Linked DNA regions of Stegostoma tigrinum. The main gene of each other region encodes a partner of the protein of the gene in region 2 in a complex. Links are inferred from orthologs where the notes say so. Each region holds a gene or a part of one and is shown on either strand. Other genes may lie near its edges. The genes, in order: golga4, arl1 and arfaptin-2-like.

Region 1 (8,345 bases), on a different chromosome or scaffold from region 2:
CTTAAAATCAAGTATCAACAACAATGAAACAAAAGCAACTCACATGACAAACCTTCAACTGTAATGCTGAAAATTCCATCATATTGTGGATAGCTTCTTGTCTGCCTGGTTCTAAAGAGCTTGAAGAAAATTATCCAAAATGTAAAGTTTATGTGAATTTTCAAATTCACCATGATAGGTTTTCCTTGCAAGTTACCAGCAATCTTTAGCTTGGACACGTCTGGCCGAACGATTATCAACGTGTGGGAAATAGTAACCTTGGGTCTTATTCAATCTAAGTTTTGAACAAGAGTCATCCTGAGACTTGAAGACTCAGTACACTTTGCCAAATTGCTAATAGCTCAGTGAATATCCCAAATTTGGATTCCAACTCACAATAATTCCATAATTCTAGTGGCCAGATCAGCCAATTACTTTTAAAGACCATAAGACATAGGAGCAAAAATTAGGCTGTTCAGTCCATCGAGACTGTTCCACCATTCAATCGTGGCTGATAAGTTCCTCAACCTCTTTCTCCCTGTAACCTTTGATCGCCTTGATAATCAAGAACCTATCAAACTCAGTTCTAAATGTACTCAATGACCTGGCCTCCACAGCCTTCTGTGGCAGTGAATTTCATAGATTCATCACACTCTGGCTGAAGAAGTTTCTCCTTATCTCCATTCTAAAAGGTCTTGCCTTTCCTCAAGGCTGTGGCCTCAGGTACTAGTCTCTCCTACCAATGGAAGCATCTTCCCAACATCCACACTGTCCACATAACTCAGTATTCTGAAAGTTTCAATTAGATCCCCCCTCATCCTTCCAAACTCCAATGAGTATAGTCCCAGAGTTCTCAAATGTTCGTCATATGTTAAGCTTTCCATTCCTTGGACCATTCTCATGAACCTCCTCTGAACCCACTCCAAGGCCAGTACATCCTTCCTGAAATATGTTGTATTCCTGCATTCCTTTTTTACACCCAGTGTACAGGCACTGGAATGCTCTTTAGCAGTTTTATGTTGCGGTTAATATTGATTGGTTTCTGCACTCAACTCATTTACCCCTGGCAAGTTCTCTCTTTGCCTTGATCTATGCACTTGGCTGAAGCTTTATATTTATTTTATTCACGCTCTCAAAAATATTGAGTGACAATTTTATACAAATTTTACTGATATGAATTTTAGATTCACAATTAAATTGAGCTGAGCACTGTACATAAATTTTAGGCATTAGAATCTTTTAATACTGAGGAGAGTGGGCAAATATATGGGAACATGAAAATGCAAACAAATAAAACTGCTGTGTCATTTGTTAAACCCATATGTAGGCCCTTCGTGTAAGTAAAACAATTTAGTTGCACATCCCTTCAAAGATATGACAGAGAACCAGTTGAGGGGGTTTGTTAAATATTTACTTCCTCATTTAGTTTCAATTTTTAATTGAACCAGTACTGGCGCGAATTGTCCCTGGGAATTTACCAGCTTCTGCGTTCTTAGTGAAGCTGGTTGTAATAAATCATTTATTTGAACCATGTTTCAAATTTCACTATTTTCAAACATCATACCCAAGAGGACAAAATTCAGAATCCACAATTACACAACTGTGCATAATAAAATTATCTTTCAGTGAATGTGGCCAAAGCTTCGCTTTAATTAGCTTGTTTCTGACATTTGGGCAACTTCTTTACAAATAGATTCAAAGCATTACATCAACAACCCAATGTATAGAGATAATAATACCAAATCAACAGCTCAAATTTATAAGTTTCAAGTCAGACATGACACTAAACCAGCATCATTAGCCGATTAGCCAGCTGTTGGTTTGTCAGGCACGGGTTGTAATCAACCACTGTGAAACACAAAAACATTTTGTCACTTCAAGAATCCAAGTAGCAGCTTATCCTACAAAACAAACCTTCAATAACTAACGAAGTTCAATTCACGACAAAATCATAAATGAGTTTTCTTGCTTTGTTCAGTAAATGCTCAATTCTATTGAAACTGTCAAAAAGGTGGCATTGATTCCCCCACGATTATGAAAGCAATATGTTGACCAATTACAGAAATGTTGAGAAATGTTAAATGTGTACCATTCCTCTTTGTGATGAGGGTGTTAACTCCACAACATTGATGCTCTCCATTGATCAAAAAACAAGAGGAGACATATCCACGAAGCTTCTTGCGTTTTAAGAAAACTTGACTTATATATTGACCTCACTTGTACTCTGCTGCTCTATCCTCATATTTTAATTCACTGTGGGTCCAAAGGCCAATCATCTCAAGTTGTAAATATACTTAACTACTGAGTACCTTCAGTCATTGGGAGAAGGAGCAAATCGAACATCAGCTGCAGGATAGCAAAGACTGTGATTCAATGAGGGTGCCTGCGATGCAGGCTAACGTACCTACCCTGAGCTAGAGACCCAGCTTCAAGTTTCACCTACTACACTGGCGTAAAATAAAATCTTGTGAGCAGGTTGTTTGGAAAAGATCAAAACGTCAGCTGTTGGGCTCCTGAGATGCTGCTTGGCCTGCTGTGTTCATCCAGCTACACACTTCGTTATCCTGAAAACACTTTTTTGGGTTTTGCAATGCAATGGCAGTGTTCCTACCGCTGGCTCAGAAAACCTGGGTTCAAGTCTCAACTCCTCCAGATGAGTATCATAACATACCCGTAACAGTTGATTTAGGAAAAGAAAACTAAGACTGTGATTCAAATATGGGCGAGTAAATCGTTTACACAACTGGCATCCCAAGATTGAAAATCCGGAAAGAAACGCTGACACAGTTTTCCACATCTCTCTCTTACAGAAATATCAATATCACCAATGAAGTCACCTCACCTCACAACACAACCAAGATGGGTAATTCTGATTTCATCGTGATAAAAGGTTTCCTTCCAAAACACTCTCGTAAATCAATTACAATAATTGTTTATCCTGACCAGAGTCGAAATGAACCACTGCGAAGTTGGAAAAACCACTGAACTTCAAAAATCCCACACAGCCACGTACAATGAAGAAGCAGAGCTTTCGAAAACTTGCGCGAACCACTGTCGCTCTGCCGGGGTCTCGTCCAGCTGAAGGTACCAGAGGTCAAAGAGGTCGGGGTTTCGTCTGCGTGATCTCCGGGAAATGAGGGTCAACTGACAGGACAATTCTGAACTACCTGGTACTCAGCCTCTGCTCCGAGAGTTAGCCTGGGGCCCTATGACAGCTGTTAGGGAGGGGACAGTGGCTCATTCCCCAACCCGCCCTTACTCACTGATGTTCAGAGTGGGGTCTGGAGGGAGTCTGGATCATCCCAACACCCCCTCCCGGAGCTTCAGGAACGCCTCTCCCCGGCCGGGCCGGGACGGGACGGGCCTGGCCGACAGTGCCCTCCGCCCTCTCTCACCTGAACTACGCCGCTCCTGACCGGGAACTGCTCTTCGTTAAGCTTCTGCTTGAGTTTCTTGAACATCGTGCCAGCCGCCGGGATAGCCCGAGAACCAGGGTGGGGACAGAAATTGCGTGGGTCGCCGACAGCCTCCACGGTCCCCGCCAGGCCCCGGCTCCCGGACTTCAGGCCTCACGATCCGGATTGCCGCACAGCGCATGTGCCGGCAACGTGGCCCCGGCAGCCAAAGGCGCGTGTCACACGCATCAAAGACCAGCCGGGGGCGCTGCTTGCACCCAGGGCGCTTTAGGGGAGAGAGACTTGCAGGAAAGCGCTGTTTGCATCCAGAGCTCTGAGAGGTGAGATCGCAGCAGGGTGCTAATTGCATCAGTGATAATGGGAACTGCAGATGCTGGAGAATCCAAGATAATGAAATGTGAGGCTGGATGAACACAGCAGGCCCAGCAGCATCTCAGCAGCACAAAAGCTGACGTTTCGGGCCTAGACCACTTCACCAACACCTTCCACCCCAACCTTCAGTTCACCTGGGCCATGTCCAGCACATCCCTCACCTTCCTGGATCTCTCAGTCTCCATCTCAGGCAACCAGCTTGTGACTGATGTCCATTTCAAGCCCACCGACTCCCACAGCTACCTAGAATACACCTCCTCCCACCCACCCTCCTGCAAAAATTCCATCCCCTATTCCCAATTCTTCCGCCTCTGCCGCATCTGCTCCCACGATGAGGAATTCCACTCCCACACATCCCAGATGTCCAAGTTCTTCAAGGACCGCAATTTCCCCCCCACAGTGGTCGAGAACGCCCTTGACCACGTCTCCCGCATTTCCCGCAACACATCCCTCACACCCCGCCCCCGCCACAACCGCCCAAAGAGGATCCCCCTCGTTCTCACACACCACCCCACCAACCTCCGGATACAACGCATCATCGTCCGACACTTCCGCCATCTACAATCTGACCCCACCACCCAAGACATTTTTCTATCCCCACCCCTGTCTGCTTTACGGAGAGACCACTCTCTCCGTGACTCCCTTGTTCGCTCCACACTGCCCTCCAACCCCACCACACCCGGCACCTTCCCCTGCAACCGCAGGAAATGCTACACTTGCCCCAACACCTCCTCCCTCACCCCTATCCCAGGCCCCAAGATGACTTTCCACATTAAGCAGAGGTTCACCTGCACATCTGCCAATGTGGTATACTGCATCCATTGTACCCGGTGTGGCTTCCTCTGCATTGGAGAAACCAAGCGGACGCTTGGGGATGCACTTTTCAGAACACCTCCGCTCGATTCGCAATAAACAACTGCACCTCCCAGTCGCAAACCATTTCCACTCCCCCTCCCATTCTTTAGATGACACATCCGTCATGGACCTCCTGCAGTGCCTCAATGATGCCACCCGAAGGTTGCAGGAACAGCAACTCATATTCCGCTTGGGAACCCTGCAGCCCAATGGTATCAATGTGGACTTCACCAGCTTCAAAATCTCCCCTTCCCCCACCGCATCCCAAAACCAGCCCAGTTCGTCCCCTCCCTCCACTGCACCACACAACCAGCCCAGCTCTTCCCCTCCACCCACTGCATCCCAAAACCAGTCCAACCTGTCTCTGCCTCCCTAACCTGTTCTTCCTCTCACCCATCCCTTCCTCCCACCCCAAGCCGCACCTCCATCTTCTACCTAATAACCTCATCCCACCTCCTTGACCTGTCCGTCTTCCCTGGACTGACCTATCCCCTCCCTACCTCCCCACCTATACTCTCCTCTCCACCTATCTTCTTTTCTCTCCATCTTCAGTCCGCCTCTCCCTCTCTCCCTATTTATTCCAGAACCCTCTCCCCATCCCCCTCTCTGATGAAGGGGCTAGGCCCGAAACGTCAGCTTTTGTGCTCCTGAGATGCTGCTGGGCCTGCTGTGTTCATCCAGCCTCACATTTCATTATCTTGGGTGCTAATTGCACTTGGGTCTCTGTCACTGAGAGGGTCCAGGAAGGGCGCTGTATGCATTCTTAGGCTCGAGAAATGAGAGTACAGCTGGGACGTTTTCTGCATCCAGAGCTCTGGGGAGGTGAGGGTCCAGCAGTGTCTGAACCTAGGCTTCCTTGGAGGGGAGGGTTCAGCAGGGGTTCTGTCTGTACGTAGAGCCACAAGCAGGTGCGCTGTTTACACCAAGAACAGTATGCAAGGGAGGCTCAGCAAGGCTGTTGTCTGCATCCAGGACTCTTTGGAGGAGAGGGTGCAGCAGAGGCAGTATCCGCACCCATGACTCTTTAGAAAGGAGGAACCAGCAGGGGAACGTCTGCACCCAGGACTTTGTGGAGGAGATGGTCCACCGGTGGCAGCCTCTGCACACAGGTTAGAGGGGAGGTGGGGAACCAGCAAGGGTCGACTTGCATCGAGGGCTCCGAGGAGCTGATGTCTTGGGTTGACTTCCCAATTCCCCAGGACTGTCTTGGAGCAACTAACTAAAAGCTATCATCTTCATTGCATTGAGATAACAAGGTGTAGAGCTGAATGAACACAGCAGGCCAAGCAGCATCATAGGGGCTGCTCCTTTGGCCTGCTGTATTCATCCAGCTCTACACCTTGTTATCTTGGATTCTCCAGCATCTGCAGTTCCTCCTTTCTCTGATACAATCTTCGTTACGTTGTTCACAGTCTCAAGATAACATATTTTTCCTTTTTTTGAAATGTTCTTTTAATAGATCATTTTCATTTCTCATGTCATAGAGTCGTAAAGCATGGAAACAAACTCTTTGGTCAAAGCGTACATGTTCCCAAACGAAACTACTCCCACTTGCCAGCAATTGGCCTATATCCCTCCAAACCTTTCCTATTCATACATCACAGAACATAGAACAATACAGTGCAAAACAGGCCCTTCGGCCCTCGATGTTGCGACGGCCTGAGAACTAATCTAAGTCCATTCCCCGACACTATCCCATCATCATCCAATATGCTTATCCAAGGACTGTTTAAATGCCCCTAATGTGGCTGAGTTAACTCCATTGACAGGCAGTGTGTTCCACACTCTTACCACTCCCTGAGTAAAGAACCTGCCTCTGACATCTGTCTTAAATCTCTCACCCCTCAATTTGTAGCTATGTCCCCTCGTACAAGCTGACGTCATCATCCTCGGAAAGACACTCTCACTGTCCACCCTATCTAATCCTCTGATCATCTTGAATGTCTCTATTAAATCCCCTCTTAGCCTTCTTCTCTCCAATGAGAACAGACCCAAGTCTCTCAGCCTTTCTTCATAAGGCCTTCGCTCCAGACCAGGCAACATCCTGGTAAGTCTCTTCTGCACCTTTTCCAACGCTTCCACATCCTTCCTGTAATGGGGCGACCAGAACTGCACGCAGTATTCCAAGTGAGGCCGTACTAGCGTTTTGTACAGTTGCAGCATGACATCACAGCTCCGGAACTCAATCCCTCTACCAATAAAATCTACCACACCATAAACCTTCTTAACAGCACTCTCAATCTGGGTGGCAACTTTCAGGGATCTATGTACATGGACACCAAAATCCCTCTGCACGTCCACACTACCAAGAATCTTTCCATTGACCCAGTATTCTGCCTTCCTATTATTCTTCCCAAAGTCAATCACCTCACATTTGTCTGCATTGAACTCCATTTGCCAACGTTCAGCCCAGTTCTGCAGTGTATCCAAGTCTCCCTGCAACCTGCAACATTCTTCCACACTGTCCACCACTCCACCGACTTTAGTGTCATCTGCAAACTTACAAACCCATCCACCTATGCCTGTGTCCAAGTCATTTATAAAAATGACAAACAGCAGTGGTCCCAAAACAGATCCTTGAGGCACACCACTAGTAACCGGACTCCAGGCTGAATATTTTCCATCAACCACCACTCGTTACCTTCTTACAGAAAGCCAGTTTCTAATCAAAACTGCTAAATCTCCCTCAATCCCGTGCCTCCGCATTTTCTCCAATAGCCTACCATGTGGAACCTTATCAAAGGCTTTACTGAAGTCCATGTACACCACGTCAATTGCCCTACCCACATCCACATGCTTGGTCACCTTCTCAAAAAACTGAATGAGAGTTGTGAGACATGACCTGCCCTTGACGAATCCATGCTGACTATCTCCAATCAAATTGTTGCTTGCTAGATGATTATAAATCCTATCTCTTATAATCCTTTCCAAAACATTTCCTACAACAGACGTAAGGCTCACAGGTCTATAATTACCTGGGTCATCCCTACTGCCCTTCTTGAACAATGGCACAACATTTACAATCTTCCAGTCCTCTGGCACTAAACCTGTAGAGAATGAGGACTCAAAGATCAAGGCCAAAGGCTCCGCCACCTCCTCCCTAGCTTCCCAGACATCCTCGGAAAAATCCCATCTGGCCCAGGTGGTTTATCTACCTTCATACCTTCTAGAATTGATAACACCACCTCCTTACTAACCACAATCCTTTCAAGTCTAAAAGCCCGTATCTCAGTCTTCCCCTCTACAATATTCTCCTTTTCCTGAGTGAAAACAGATGAGAAATATTCGTTTAGCACCTCTCCGATCTCCACAGGGTCCACACACAACTTCCCACTTCTGTCTTTGACTGGCTCTATTCCAACGCTAGTCATCCTCTTATTCCTTACATACCTATAGAAAGCTTTAGGGTTCTCCTTTATTCTACCTGCTAATGTCTGCTCATGTCCCCTCCTTGCTCTTCTTAACTCTCTCTTTAAATCCTTTCTAGCTAATCTGTAATTGTCCATCACCTCATCTGACCCATCTCGTCTCATCGTCACATAAGCCTCCCTTTTCCGCTTAACAAGAGATACAATTTCTTTAGGAAACCACAGTTCCCTTACCTTATCGCTTCCTCCCTGCCTGACAGGGACATACCTATCAAGGACACACAATATCAGTTCCTTAAATCAGCTCCACACTTCATTTGTTCCCATCCCCTGCATTTTGCTAACCCATTCTATG
Region 2 (7,742 bases):
TCACAGAGGAGAAAGATATTGTAGTCAGGGATTTCAGTTGGGATGGTGGGGTTCTAGAATACACGAAGATTAATACGGAGGAGGTATTAGATGTTTTAATGGACAGACAGGTGCATGAATCCCCAGAGTTAACGTTTCAGGTCCGGTGACCCTTCCTCAAGTCTGTGGAAGGGACACCGGACCCGAAACATTAACTCTGTTTTCTCCTCCACAGAACGGCCAGACCTGCAGAGCTTTTCCAGCAAATTTGTTTTTGTTCCTGATTTACAGCATCCGCAGTTCTTTTGGTTCTTATAACTCCCCAGAGCTGGGTAAGATGCAAGGGAGGAAACTTCTGGGGTCATGGTGGAGATACTTAATACTTTGTTGGGGACCGGTAAAGTGTCAGGTGACTAGAGGACAGCTGATATGGGTCCTTGTTCAGGCAAGGAGTTGGGATAGGCTGGTAATTACAGAGCAGTTAGTCTGACATCACTTGACAGGAAATTTTCCTGGTTCATAGAATCTCTACAGTGTGGAAACAGGCCCTTCAGCCCAACAAGTCCACACCAACCCTCAGAGCATCCCACCCAGACCCATCCCACTAATCTACACATCCCTGGACACTACAGGCAATTTAGCATGGCCAACTCACCTAGCCAGCCTGCACATCTGCAGGAGGAAACCCACACAGACACGGGGAGAATGTGCAAACTCCACACAGACAGTCGCCCAAACCTGGGATCAAACCCAGGTCCCTGGTTCTGTGATGCAACAGCGCCAACAAGTGAACCACCATGCTGCCTGTTTTTTTTCTGAGAATTGAAACAAGTTGCCAATTTGGGTTGGAAAAGGTTGGAAAATATGCTGAAGGACAGGATTAATCTATACTTAGAAACCATGAGGTGGAGGTGCCAGTCTTGGACTGGGGTGGACAAAGTCAGAAGTCACACAACAAAAGGTTATAGGTCAACAGATTCATTTAAAATCACAAGCTTTCGAAGCGCTGCTCCTTCATCAGGTGAATGTGCAACGCTCTGAAAACTTGTGACTTCAAATAAACCGGTTGAACTATAACCTAAGATAATAAAATGTGAGGCTGGATGAACACAGCAGGCCAAGCAGCATCTCAGGAGCACAAAAGCTGACGTTTCGGGCCTGGACCCTTCATCAGAGAGGGGGATGGGGGGAGGGAACTGGAATAAATAGGGAGAGAGGGGGAGGCGGACCGAAGATGGAGAGCAAAGAAGATAGGTGGAGAGGGTGTAGGTGGGGAGGTAGGGAGGGGATAGGTCAGTCCAGGGAAGACGGACAGGTCAAGGAGGTGGGATGAGGTTAGTAGGTAGCTGGGGGTGCGGCTGGGGGTGGGAGGAAGGGATGGGTGAGAGGAAGAACCGGTTAGGGAGGCAGAGACAGGTTGGACTGGTTTTGGGATGCAGTGGGTGGGGGGGAAGAGCTGGGCTGGTTGTGTGGTGCAGTGGGGGGAGGGGATGAACTGGGCTGGTTTAGGGATGCAGTGGGGGAAGGGGAGATTTTGAAACTGGTGAAGTCCACATTGATACCATATGGCTGCAGGGTTCCCAGGCGGAATATGAGTTGCTGTTCCTGCAACCTTCGGGTGGCATCATTGTGGCAGTGCAGGAGGCCCATGATGGACATGTCATCAAGAGAATGGGAGGGGGAGTGGAAATGGTTTGCGACTGGGAGGTGCAGTTGTTTGTTGCGAACTGAGCGGAGGTGTTCTGCAAAGCGGTCCCCAAGCCTCCGCTTGGTTTCCCCAATGTAGAGAAAGCCGCACCGGGTACAGTGGATGCAGTATACCACATTGGCAGATGTGCAGGTGAACCTCTGCTTAATGTGGAATGTCATCTTGGGGCCTGGGATGGGGGTGAGGGAGGAGGTGTGGGGACAAGTGTAGCATTTCCTGCGGTTGCAGGGGAAGGTGCCGGGTGTGGTGGGGTTGGAGGGCAGTGTGGAGCGAACAAGGGAGTCACGGAGAGAGTGGTCTCTCCGGAAAGCAGACAGGGGTGGGGATGGAAAAATGTCTTGGGTGGTGGGGTCGGATTGTAAATGGCGGAAGTGTCGGAGGATTCCGCATGGAGATGGCCTCAAGGCCCTCCGCTTCTTCCTGTCCCGCAGGCCCGACCAGGCCCCCTCCACCGACACTCTCATCCGCCTAGCGGAACTCGTCCTCACACTCAACAACTTCTCTTTTGACTCCTCCCACTTCCTACAGACTAAGGGGGTGGCCATGGGCACCCGCATGGGCCCCAGCTATGCCTGCCTCTTTGTAGGTTACGTGGAACAGTCCATCTTCCGCACCTACACAGGCCCCAAACCCCACCTCTTCCTCCGGTACATTGATGACTGTATCGGCGCCGCCTCTTGCTCCCCAGAGGAGCTCGAACAGTTCATCCACTTCACCAACACCTTCCACCCCAACCTTCAGTTCACCTGGGCCATCTCCAGCACATCCCTCACCTTCCTGGACCTCTCAGTCTCCATCTCAGGCAACCAGCTTGTAACTGATGTCCATTTCAAGCCCACCGACTCCCACAGCTACCTAGAATACACCTCCTCCCACCCACCCTCCTGCAAAAACTCCATCCCCTATTCCCAATTCCTCCGCCTCCGCCGCATCTGCTCCCACGATAAGACATTCCACTCCCGCACATCCCAGATGTCCAAGTTCTTTAAGGACCGCAACTTCCCCCCCACGGTGATTGAGAACGCCCTTGACCGCGTCTCCCGCATTTCCCGCGACACATCCCTCACACCCCGCCCCCGCCACAACCGCCCCAAGAGGATCCCCCTCGTTCTCACACACCACCCTACCAACCTCCGGATACAACGCATTATCCTCCGACACTTCCGCCATTTACAATCCGACCCCACCACCCAAGACATTTTTCCATCCCCACCCCTGTCTGCTTTCCGGAGAGACCACTCTCTCCGTGACTCCCTTGTTCGCTCCACACTGCCCTCCAACCCCACCACACCCGGCACCTTCCCCTGCAACCGCAGGAAATGCTACACTTGTCCCCACACCTCCTCCCTCACCCCCATCCCAGGCCCCAAGATGACATTCCACATTAAGCAGAGGTTCACCTGCACATCTGCCAATGTGGTATACTGCATCCACTGTACCCGGTGCGGCTTTCTCTACATTGGGGAAACCAAGCGGAGGCTTGGGGACCGCTTTGCAGAACACCTCCGCTCAGTTCGCAACAAACAACTGCACCTCCCAGTCGCAAACCATTTCCACTCCCCCTCCCATTCTCTTGATGACATGTCCATCATGGGCCTCCTGCACTGCCACAATGATGCCACCCGAAGGTTGCAGGAACAGCAACTCATATTCCGCCTGGGAACCCTGCAGCCATATGGTATCAATGTGGACTTCACCAGTTTCAAAATCTCCCCTTCCCCCACTGCATCCCTAAACCAGCCCAGTTCATCCCCTCCCCCCACTGCACCACACAACCAGCCCAGCTCTTTCCCCCCCACCCACTGCATCCCAAAACCAGTCCAACCTGTCTCTGCCTCCCTAACCGGTTCTTCCTCTCACCCATCCCTTCCTCCCACCCCCAGCCGCACCCCCAGCTACCTACTAACCTCATCCCACCTCCTTGACCTGTCCGTCTTCCCTGGACTGACCTATCCCCTCCCTACCTCCCCACCTACACCCTCTCCACCTATCTTCTTTGCTCTCCATCTTCGGTCCGCCTCCCCCTCTCTCCCTATTTATTCCAGTTCCCTCCCCCCATCCCCCTCTCTGATGAAGGGTCTAGGCCCGAAACGTCAGCTTTTGTGCTCCTGAGATGCTGCTTGGCCTGCTGTGTTCATCCAGCCTCACATTTTATTATCTTGGAATCTCCAGCATCTGCAGTTCCCATTATCTCTGAACTATAACCTGGTGTTGTGTGACTCAGTACTTGGAAAAGCAGGGATTGATCAGAGATGGTCAACACTGAGTTGTCAAAGCGAGACCCTATCTGACTTGTTTAATTGAATTTTATTTTTTTAAATGGCTATGTATATTGATGAGGATCGTGGAATTGATGTGGTTTATGTGGAATTTGGATAAGGCCTTTGAGACGGTCCCACATGGAAGACTGGTCCAAAGGGTAAGATCCCATGGGATCCAAGGCAGGTCGGCAAAGTGGATCCAAAATTGGGCTTTCAAATAGGAGGCAAAGAGTGATGGTGGGGGAATGTTTTTTGTGGCTGGATGCCTGTGATCAGCGGTGTACCACAGGGATCAGTGATGGGACCCTTGCTGTTATGTACAGTGACAACTTGTGTGTGAATATATAAGAATTAATTAGTAAGATTGCAGGTATAAGTAATAACTAATCTTTGCATTTGTAAATAAAATAAGGCGGACTAAATTATTTCTTCCAACACCTGCTTCTAATTAATCCACAGGTACCTGGAACTGGAGCAACGCCACTGACTTTCTGCTTGTTCGGCCGCTGGCGGTGAAGCAGCGCCCTCTCCGTCTGGAGGACGGCATCGCGCGGGTCGCGTGGCACGCAGCCGCGGCGAATCGGCCGATGACGGTTGAATCTTGATGAAGAGCTGATTTTTCGCCAGTGTCGGGCACGAGGTAAATGGCTGGTATTTAAGCGGAGTCCGGGGGGTGGAAAAGGTTGCTTATTTTTCGCGGATTCCGAGGCGCGAATCTGCGGCGTCAGGAAACGGGCATTAGGCCTCAGGCTCTACCGGGGAGTGCGCGCGCAGCCTGGGGACGACGGCCACGTCGGAGCAAACAGCGAGATGGGTTAGTGAGAGATTTATTTAAATTATATAAAATGTACAGGGATGGGTATAAATATACAATGAATCGGTGAAGTGAGAAACGTGTCGGTGAGTGGTAGCTGTATAAAATATACGGTGTTTCCAGGGGTATACCTGATATACAGGGGGTAGGGAGGGAAATGTCAGTGAGAAACTTGTATAAAATATACAGTGGGATTTTATGTATCGAGGGGAAATGTGTCAGTGAGAAACTTGTATAAAATATACAGTGGGATTTTATATATCGAGGGGAAATGTGTCAGTGAGAAACTTGTATAAAATATACAGTGGGATTTTATATATCGAGGGGAAATGTGTCAGTGAGAAACTTGTATAAAATATACAGTGGGATTTTATATATCGAGGGGAAATGTGTCAGTGAGAAACTTGTATAAAATATACAGTGGGATTTTATATATCGAGGGGAAATGTGTCAGTGAGAAACTTGTATAAAATATACAGTGGGATTTTATATATCGAGGGGAAATGTGTCAGTGAGAAACTTGTATAAAATATACAGTGGGATTTTATATATCGAGGGGAAATGTGTCAGTGAGAAACTTGTATAAAATATACAGTGGGATTTTATATATCGAGGGGAAATGTGTCAGTGAGAAACTTGTATAAAATATACAGTGGGATTTTATATATCGAGGGGAAATGTGTCAGTGAGAAACTTGTATAAAATATACAGTGGGATTTTATGTATCGAGGGGAAATGTGTCAGTGAGAAACTTGTATAAAATATACAGTGGGATTTTATGTATCGAGGGGAAATGTGTCAGTGAGAAACTTGTATAAAATATACAGTGGGATTTTATGTATCGAGGGGAAATGTGTCAGTGAGAAACTTGTATAAAATATACAGTGGGATTTTATATATCGAGGGGAAATGTGTCAGTGAGAAACCTGTATAAAATATACAGTGGGATTTTATATATCGAGGGGAAATGTGTCAGTGAGAAACTTGTATAAAATATACAGTGGGATTTTATGTATCGAGGGGAAATGTGTCAGTGAGAAACTTGTATAAAATATACAGTGGGATTTTATATATCGAGGGGAAATGTGTCAGTGAGAAACTTGTATAAAATATACAGTGGGATTTTATATATCGAGGGGAAATGTGTCAGTGAGAAACCTGTATAAAATATACAGTGGGATTTTATATATCGAGGGGAAATGTGTCAGTGAGAAACCTGTATAAAATATACAGTGGGATTTTATATATCGAGGGGAAATGTGTCAGTGAGAAACTTGTATAAAATATACAGTGGGATTTTATATATCGAGGGGAAATGTGTCAGTGAGAAACTTGTATAAAATATACAGTGGGATTTTATATATCGAGGGGAAATGTGTCAGTGAGAAACTTGTATAAAATATTCTCCATCTACAGTATGTATTGGGGGGTTGTTTGTTCAGGCTGGAGGCCTGGGAGCAGTGCTCTGTCACAAGGTTTGGTGCTGGGGCCACTGTTGTCCCAAATCTTTTTACATAAATACATTGGGTGAGAAGGTAGGGACCATGGTTGGTATGTTCATGGAAGACATCAGAGTTGGTACCATAGAGTTGTACGGCAAGGAATCAGACCCATTGGCCCAACTAGTCCATTAGTCTAGACCCACTTGCTAGATGTGATAATGGGAACTGCAGGTGCTAGAGAATCCAAGATAACAAGGTGTAGAGCTGGATGAACACAGCAGGCCAAGCAGCATCTCAGGAGCACAAAAGCTGATGTTTCGGGCCTAGACCCTTCTGCCTTCTTCATCCTGTCTGCTTGTGACTCCACCTTCAAGGAACTATGCCCTTGTGCGGTCTCTTTGGCACTACTCTTCATGACCTCACCATTAAATGTATAAGCAACAGTATTTAACAAGCAAAAACAAAGTTGCTGGAAAAGCTCAGTAGGCCTGGCAGTATCTGTGGAGGAGGAAAAAAGTTAATGTTTTGCATCTGGTGACCCTTCCTCAGAACTCTTACAGCATCTGCAGTTCTTTTGGTTCTTTATTTAGTATTTAAGAAGTACCTGGATGCGCACATAATCAGGAAGGGAATGGGGGATATGGATCCTGTAAGTGAAGACTCTTCTAGTATGGAAGAGTAAAATGTGTTGGTGCAGGCTTAGTGGGCTGAAGGGCCTATTCCTGTGCTGTATTGTTCTTTGTTCTAAATCCTGCCCTGATTTGCCTTGCCAAAATGCAACACCTCTTATTTATCTAAATAAAACTCTTATCTGCTGCTCATGAGCCCAATTGATCAAGGACTTGTCATACTCTGATATAACCACTTTTGCTGCCCACTATACCACTAATGTTAGTGTCATATGCAAACTTACTAACAATATCTCCTACGTTCACCTTGAAATCATTCATATAAATGATAAAAAGCAGTGGACCCAGCACCAGTTCATGTGGCATACTGCTGGTGACAGGCCTCCAGTCTGAAACCCCCCACCACCCCAATCCTCTGCCTCTTACCTTACAACCAATTTTGTATCCAGTTTTAAAAAACAAAAGAACTGTGGATGTTGTATATCGGGACCAAAAACTAAAGTTGCTGGAAAAGCTCAGCAGGTCTGGCAGGATCTGAACAGAAAATCAGAGTTAAGGTTTTGGGCTCAGTGTTTTGAGGAAGGACATCAGACCTGAAACATTAACTCTGATTTTCTCTTTGCAGATGCTGCAAAACCTGAGCTTTTCTAGCAACTTCTAGTTTTGTTCTTGTATCCAGTTTATACTGTTAATGGTAGGGCCCTGGGGAGTATTATGGAATAGAGATACCTGGGGCCCAGGTACAGTTTCTTGAAAAATCATGTTGCAAGTTGAAAGAGTGATGAAAGTGTTTGGTATGCCTGTTTTTTTTTATTGGTCAAAACTTTGAGTACAGGAGTTGGGATGCCATGTTCAAGATGTTAACTGCACATTGAGTACTGCATGCAGTTCTGGTCACCCTGCCATAGA
Region 3 (7,813 bases), on a different chromosome or scaffold from region 2:
GCTATTCCATGTGATTTCCCTGCAGATTTGCTTCGCTCCATCTGTGTCCATTTGGAGGTCTATAAATTAACTCCTGTAACAGGGCCTTGGCCCCTCTTATTCTCTCTTCAATACCACAATGTCTTCTCCAAACATTACTGCTACCCCACATCTAACACTCAACTCCTTCCTTTTGCCTGTTCCTGTACGTTATACAAATGAATCTGCCTACGGGGATATCAGGCTCACTCTGTTGGGATTCAGCCATCTCATTTAAACCAACATTTTAAAGGCTGTCTTGTGATGCAGTGGCAGTGTCCCTACCTCTGGGCCAGGAGGCCCAGGTTCAATTACCACCTGCTCCAGAAGTGTGTAATAACATCTCCAAACAGGTTGAATGGTAAAACTTGTCCAACCCGTGCAGTTCTGAAGAATCACCATACCGGACTTGATGCATGAATTCTGTTTTTCTCCCCACCGATGACAGCAGACAGGAAACAGTGAGTAGGGATAAATGGGTCTTTTTCTGAGTAGTACACAGTGACAATGGGGTACTAGATGACACAAAGATGGGTGGGTGGATGCAGAAATGCAGCAGTGTGACTTGGACAAGTTGAGTGAGTAAGCAAATGCATGGTTGTCGAAACATAATTTGGAAAGATGTGAGGTTATCCACTTGGAAGCAAAAACTTGGAAGGCGTACCATTATCTAAATGGCAAGAAATTGAGAGAGGGGAATGTTCAACAAGACCTGGGTGTCATGATATACTGTAGATAAGCATGCAGTTGCAGCAGGAGGTGAAGAAGGCAAATGGGATATTGGCCTTCATAACAAGAGGATTCAAGTACAGGAGCAGGGATGTCCTGCTGCAGTAATACAGGGTCTTGGTGAGGCCACTCTTGGAGTATTATGTGCAGTTTTGGTCTCCTTCTCTGAGGACGGATGTTCTTGCTACAGAGGGAATGAAGCAAAGCTTTATCAGATTAATTCCTGGGATAGTTATAGAGTCATAGAATAATACAGGCCGTTCAGCATAAACTGGTCCATGCTGACCATGGTGCCCATTCAGCTTGTTCCAATTGCCTACATTTCGTCCATATCCCTCTAAACCCTTCTCATCTAGAAGTTTTTAGATGTTGCCATTATACCCGCCTCAACCACTTTTTCGGGAAGCCCATTCCATATATGCAGCACCCTCTACGTGAAGAAGTTGCCCCTCAAGTCATTCTTAAATCTTTCCCCTCTCACCTTAAACCTACATCCTCTAGTTTTCAACCCACTATTCCTGGGAAAAAGACTAAATGTATTCATTCTATATATGCCCTATACACCTCAATGAGATCATCCCTCATTCTCCCATGTTGCAAGGAATAAATTCCTATCCTGGTCAATCTCTCCCAATAACTCAGGCCTCCTAGTCCTGGCAACATTCTCATAAATCCTCTTTGCACAATTTCCAGTTTAACTATGTCTTTGCTATAACAGGGTAATTAAAACTGAAAACTATACTACACGTGCAGCCTCAACAACTTGTACAATTGTAACAGATCGTCCCAATTCTTATGTAAAAACCAAATGAACTGCAGGTGCTGTAAATCAGGAACAAACAAAGTTGCTGGAAAAGCTCAGCAGGTCTGGCAGCATCTGCGATGGGGAAAAAAAAGTTCACATTTCAGATCTGGTAACCCTTTCTCAGAACTAAGTAACTTTCTCAGTTCTGAGGAAAGGTCACCAGAACCGAAACGTTAACTCTTTTTACCTTCACAGATGCTGCCAGACCTGCTGAGCTTTTCCAGCAACTTGTTTTTGGTCCCAATTCCTATACTCAATGCCTCGACCAATGAAGGCCAGCATGCAAATATCTACCCTGTGACACGGCTTTCAGTGAACTATGTACTCGTACTCCTAGGTCCCTCTGATCCACAACACTCCTCAGGACCTTACCATTTACTGCATAAGTTCTACCATGATTTGATTTTCCAAAGTGCAACACCTCATACTTATCCGTATTGAATTGCAATTACCAATCTTCAGTCCACTTCCCCATCTGATCAAGATCCCTCTGTAATTTTTGATAACCTTCCTCATTATCAACGATACCTCCTAATTTTGTATCATCTGCAAACTTACTGATCATGCCTCGTACATTCACATCCAGATAATTTATGTAAATAACAAATAACAAAAGGTCCCAGCACTGAACCCTGTGGCACACCACTAGTCACGGCCTCCAATCTGAGAAATCACCCTCAACCATCACCCTCTGCTTCCTACTATCAAGCCAATTTTGAATTCAATTCGCTAGCTCTCCAGGGATCCCAAGTGACCTAACCTTGTTGTAGGAGGAAAGATTGCATCTGTTTGGATTTTATTCCCTGGATTTCAGAAGGATGATGCAGTGGGGTGGGGAATATCTCACTGAAACCTTTAAAATTCAAAGAGGACCAGACAGGGTGGATGCACGAAGGATGACAAGTGTGGAATCCAGGACCAAGAGACACAGTCTAAGTCATTATAAGTCATTTAGGACCGAGATGAGAAATTTCTTCACCCAGAGAGTAGAGAGCCTGTGGAATTCATTGCCACCGAAAGCAGTCAATAAAAACACAATGATTAAAAGAGGGAATTGTAGATAGTACCCGAGTTTAAAGGAATCAAACAATGATCGGTAAAAACACGCACAGACTCGAGTGGATGATCAGCAATGATCACAATGAATGATGCAGCAGGCTTAAAGGGCCTGCTCCTGTTTGTTACCATGTTTAACACAGCACTTTATAGTTTCCTGCTACTAGTCTGAATAAATAGTGACTCTGAACTGCAACAGTTAGTGACCCTTACCGTGAATAAACAATGAGGAATTCTGATGTTGGCAAACTGCATTCCTGTTACGTGGACTGATGTGTGGGGTTGAAGAGGCTAAAGGAATAGCCACAAATGGGGTGACAGGAGGAGGGACAAGGTACGTGTCAGGGGCCTGAGGAGGTTACAGAGACAAGGAGGGAGGCGGTGGTGGTAGCACTGAATACAGGCTGTAGGATGTGTGCATGTCACAGAGGGAGTACTCTGTTACACATTGTGATCCAAGCAGTACTCAGCTTGTTGTGTCGCAGTTTGATGTTTGAAGAGTCTACAATTTTCGTTCATGTATGCAGGTGAGACACATCGAGTGATGTCAACAAGGTCAGGGCGAGAATTAGTCTCCAAATACACGCTACGATCAGCAACTACATCAGTGCAAACCACAGCAGGAGGTGGAGAAATATACAGAGGGCAGGTTCATACCATGGGAGCAGGTCAAGGGGGTGGACTGCACTAGCAGTGGGTAAGACAACGTGGGCAGTTGGGTGACACTGACCAACTGAGAATAGCAACCCGTCCTGAGTATGATGGGCACTCCCTGGTCAAACAGACACCTTCCCCAGCAGTTCACAAATCATAGCGACACACAAATACTAATGGGGGGGGGGGGAGAGGGGGGAGGAGAGTGGGGGCGTCGGGGAGGAGGGGGAAGGAGGGAGAGGGAGACGGGTTAGGGTGGGGGGATGGGATGGACCTCTTGTTTCCCCCCGCCCCGTTCTCTTACCGGGGCTGCCGCTCGGGTGTCTCTCGGCGGGGAGGGGCCTGAGCCGGTTTCTAGGGACCCGGAGCCAGGGCGGGCCACCGCCAGGAAGTGACGACACAACTGGGCGGCTCACCGGAAGCGATTTGGGAAAGGTCGTCGAGACAGAATGGAGCCGGAGATTCGCAACGTGAGGCCCTCACCACCCCCACCCCCCCCCACCCCCACCCCTCCCTCACCCCCACCCCTCCCTCACCCCCACCCCTCCCTCACCCCCCCCACCCCCACCCCTCCCTCACCCCCCCCACCCCCACCCCTCCCTCACCCCCCCACCCCCTCCAATTTCCCCCACAAACCAAGAGGTTATGCTGCAGCTGTACAAAACTCTGGTGCGGCCGCACTTGGAGTATTGCGTACAGTTCTGGTCACCGTATTATAAGAAGGATATGGAGCTTTGGAGAGGGTGCAGAGGAGATTTACTAGGATGTTGCCTGGTATGGAGGGAAGGTCTTACGAGGAAAGGCTGAGGGACTTGAGGCTGTTTTCATTAGACAGAAGAAGGTTGAGAGGTGACTTAATTGAAACATATAAAATAATCAGAGGGTTCGATAGGGTGGATAGGGAGAGCCTTTTTCCTAGGATGGTGACGGCGAGCACGAGGGGGCATAGCTTTAAATTGAGGGGTGAAAGATATAGGACAGATGTCAGAGGTAGTTTCTTTACTCAGAGAGTAGTAAGGGAATGGAACGCTTTGCCTGCAACGGTAGTAGATTCGCCAACTTTAGGTACATTTAAGTCATCATTGGATAAGCATATGGACGTACATGGAATAGTGTAGTTAGATGGGCTTGAGATCGGTATGACAGGTCGGCACAACATCGAGGACCGAAGGGCCTCTACTGTGCTGTCATGTTCTATGTTCTGTGTTCTAACCCCTCCCCAGCTCACTTGCCCCAATCTCATGTGGCTGCCCTCTTCACTAAGAATCCCCCTCACCCCCAGAGTCTATGTCCTGCACAAACCCCCTCAGTAATACATCCGTTCATTCCTATCCCCCACTCCCAACATCATACACTCACGTGGAAATTTACGGACAGCAATGGCTGTGTTAGCATCTGTGTTTTCACGGGAAGGAGGTCAATGGCATATATGGAGGGGTAGGTGTATGGGTTTGTTTCTGCTCCTCTGTGATCTTAATCTCCAGCTCGCTCGCTCTCTCTTTGTTTCAGCTGCGGGACTTCCTGTTGGTCTATAACAAAATGACAGAAACCTGCTTCAACAAGTGTGTGGCCAACCTCAACTACAGGAGCATCACATTGACTGAGGTAAATCCAAGGATGACCAGCTGCACACATCATTGGAGGCATGTGATAGCCCTGGAAAGGGTTTAAACATAATTTTACCAGGATGTTGCCTAGACTAGAGAGTTGTACGAAAAGAGGTTGGAAAGACTGGGGTTATTTTTCTTAGAACAGAACAGAGTAGATTGAGAGTGGATGTGGTTGACATGCATACAATAATCAGAGTCGTAGATACGGTAGACAGGAAGAAATTTTCCCTTTGGAGGGATCAATGAGCAGATGTGTAGATTTAAGGGAAGAGCCATAAAGTTTAAAGGTTATTTGAGGAAAAATATCACATAGAGGTTGATGGGAATCTGGAACTCAGTCTGTCAGGATGGAAAGGGCAGAAGCCGCTTTAACATTGAAGAAGTATTTAGATGTGCACTTCTGATGCCAGGACAGGCAAGAGAATGGGCCAAATCCTAGATTAGAATAATTAGGTGACAGTTTTTGACTGGTGCATACTTGATGGACTGAAGAGCCTTTTTCTGTGCTGAGACCTCTCTGACTCTTTGAACCTCATCACACAAATCAGGAACAAGGGATCATTTTGACCCTCCTTCTTGGCTCATATCATTACTCCATCCCCAGTAATCTTTCACCCTTTGATTAACCAGAGATGAAAATGGGCTATTACAGTTAGAACCAAGAGATGTAGCTCGGTGTTAGATAAATACTTTGCAGCTATCTTTACTTAAGGGGCAGGTGCTGCTCAGTACATGGTGACAGAGACAAAATCTCAGTCACTGAAAGGGTTTAAGGTTAATAAGGAGCTGGTATTCAAGACACTGTTGGCAGTGAGAAGTCACCAGACCAGTTGAGATGCATGGCAAAAATTTGCCAGCGTTGCTCAGACAGCACTTTCCAAACCCATGACCACTTCCATACAGAAGGACCTTTTTCCAGCTACTTTGTTTTTGTTCCTAATTTGTGGCATCCGCAGTTCTTTTCATTTTTATTAAGGGCAACAGATACATGGGAACACCATACCCTGCAAGTTCCTCTCCAAGACACTCACCATCCTGACTTGGAAATATATTGCCGTTCCTTTAGTGTTGCTGGGTCAGATCCTGTAATTCCTTCCTTTAGGGCTTTTTGGGTCTAGCTACATCACATGGATTGCAGCAGTTCAAGAAGGCAGCACACCGTAACCATCTCGAGGAGCAAATATGGGTGGGCAATAAATCCTGGGCCCAGCTAATGACACCCACACCTCATAAGAGAATTAAAAAACAATGTATGCCAAGGATATGGAAGGGAAAGTGGAAATTGCAGAGATATTGACAAATTACTCATGACCCTTTGACAGTGCGGCCTATTAGGTGTCTGTACGATATGACACAGTTTGTTGATGGTATGCTCTGGAACGGAATGTGCTTTAATATGTTTCCTCTCTTTCTAGGAGAATTGCATCAACAATTGTGCTGGTAAATTGATCCACACCAACCATCGGTTAATGAGTTCCTACGTCCGGCTCATGCCAACCATTGTTCAAAGAAGAATCTCTGACTATGAGGCAAAAGCTGCAGAGGTTGTGCAGAAATCAAATGTGAATCTGCCTGCATCAGAGGGCCAAAGTAACATTGCTGAAATTGTACCAGGGGACTTGGAAAATTCTGTTATCCCTGACCCACTGAATCAGACTAACACTGGCTCTCCTGACCAGAGTTAGTTTCTTGCTCCCAGTGTCACCCTGGCACTAATTCTTTCACTTACCCTTGCGTGCACAGATTGAGTGATTCCTTCCAACTTCCAGCGAATCAAACGGCATCAGTTGGGAGCTGATGTGTAACAGAAAATCAACAGACCCAGCTCAATATCTACATCACCTGGCATTTTAAACAGGTAGTTGAATTTGTGTTGACAGAAGCTGGAGTGTGGTCTGGAATGGGCCAAACTGGACTGACCGCAACTATTAGACAGTGACAAGACTGGAAACCAAAGGTCATACTGACCAGAATAGCCAGAGCGTTTCACATTGTGAAAGTGAAAACTCAACTCCTGAATGCTGAACTGTTAACATCTTAAACGAAAAAGGAGCTCAAGACAGCCAAGGCATGGAACTGATTAAAGTTAGTTTCATTGAAAATGTTTCCTTGCTCTTCAGTGAATTAATATACATTTAAGTTACAGGTGAGACCCTTGTCAAATGACAGCACTTATTTCAGTTCACAGATGTTGTTTAAGAAATTGTGGGTAATGTTTCAGAATATTTTATCATCTGAACTATCAGTTCAGGAGTCTGTCGTCTACTCCAGGCCCCAAACACATGAATTATATCATTACCACTAAGAGTATGGTCCCTCTGTGAGTGATGAGCTGCCCAGAACTAAGAGGTAAAATTGCAGACATAGTGAGTGCGTCACTGTGGGAATAATCCATACAGAGACGCCACACCAGTCTTTCATAGAAGCATCATAGAATCCCTACAGTGTGGGAACAGGCTATTCAGCCCAACAAGACCACAACGCCACTCCAAAGAACATCCCACCCAGACCCATTCCCTTACCAGAGATAACAAGGCGTAGAGCTGGATGAATGCAGCAGGTCAAGCAGCATCATAGGAGCAGGAAAGCTGACATTTCAGGCCTAGACCCTTATTTGTAGAACTCTTCATAGAAATTTCTGAAGAAGGATCTAGGCCCAAAACAGCAAGCTTTCCTGCTCCTCTGATGTTGCTTGGCCTGCTGTGTTCATCCAGCTCTACACCTTGTTATCTCAGATTCTCCAGTATCAGCAGTTCCTACTGTCTCTGAAACAATTTTAACCCCATTCCCTTACCCTTATATTTCCCATGCCTAACTCACCTAACCTAAACTTCCCTGGGCAATTTAGCATGGCGAGTTCACCTACCCTGCATGTCTTTAGATCATGGGAGGAAACTCACACAGACACAGGGAGGATGTGCAAACTGCACACACAGTCACC

What was found.
Region 1: the proteins of arl1 (region 2) and golga4 are in contact, whole or in part, in a crystal structure (PDB 1UPT), measured with the Homo sapiens proteins. The link is inferred for Stegostoma tigrinum from reciprocal best matches to the Homo sapiens genes ARL1 and GOLGA4. Residues at the interface, in NP_001168.1 of Homo sapiens: Ile49, Gly50, Phe51, Gln64, Trp66, Ser73, Ile74, Pro76, Tyr77, Cys80, Tyr81, Ser83, Glu115; in NP_002069.2 of Homo sapiens: Thr2173, Glu2174, Glu2176, Tyr2177, Lys2180, Val2181, Glu2184, Glu2190, Thr2193, Lys2196, Val2197, Thr2200, Val2201.
Region 3: the proteins of arl1 (region 2) and arfaptin-2-like are in contact, whole or in part, in a crystal structure (PDB 4DCN), measured with the Homo sapiens proteins. The link is inferred for Stegostoma tigrinum from reciprocal best matches to the Homo sapiens genes ARL1 and ARFIP2. Residues at the interface, in NP_001168.1 of Homo sapiens: Glu17, Arg19, Gln38, Ile46, Ile49, Gly50, Phe51, Asn52, Val53, Glu54, Thr55, Gln64, Trp66, Ile74, Tyr77, Cys80, Tyr81; in NP_001363487.1 of Homo sapiens: Phe205, Thr212, Lys216, Thr217, Asp220, Asp278, Ile281, Lys282, Phe285, Leu286, Glu288, Asn289, Lys292.

What each region holds. Positions count from the first base shown.
Region 1 is NC_081358.1:6,280,003-6,288,347, forward strand, and holds the start of golga4 (golgin subfamily A member 4), read right to left. Parts: upstream 3,565-8,345; 5' UTR 3,441-3,564; coding exon 3,375-3,440; intron 1-3,374. UniProt on the Homo sapiens protein: Involved in vesicular trafficking at the Golgi apparatus level. May play a role in delivery of transport vesicles containing GPI-linked proteins from the trans-Golgi network through its interaction with MACF1. Involved in endosome-to-Golgi trafficking.
Region 2 is NC_081371.1:59,384,899-59,392,640, reverse strand, and holds the start of arl1 (ADP-ribosylation factor-like protein 1), read left to right. Parts: upstream 1-4,542; 5' UTR 4,543-4,758; coding exon 4,759-4,762; intron 4,763-7,742. UniProt on the Homo sapiens protein: GTP-binding protein that recruits several effectors, such as golgins, arfaptins and Arf-GEFs to the trans-Golgi network, and modulates their functions at the Golgi complex.
Region 3 is NC_081359.1:113,858,963-113,866,775, reverse strand, and holds the start of arfaptin-2-like, read right to left. Parts: upstream 3,655-7,813; 5' UTR 3,567-3,654; intron 3,227-3,566; exon of another isoform or gene 2,822-3,226; intron 1-2,821. Other genes in the region: timm10b (mitochondrial import inner membrane translocase subunit Tim10 B), read left to right, coding at 3,712-3,732, 4,772-4,867, 6,288-6,557. UniProt on the Homo sapiens protein: Plays a role in constitutive metalloproteinase (MMP) secretion from the trans Golgi network. May have important functions during vesicle biogenesis at certain cargo subdomains, which could be predominantly utilized by secreted MMPs, such as MMP7 and MMP2.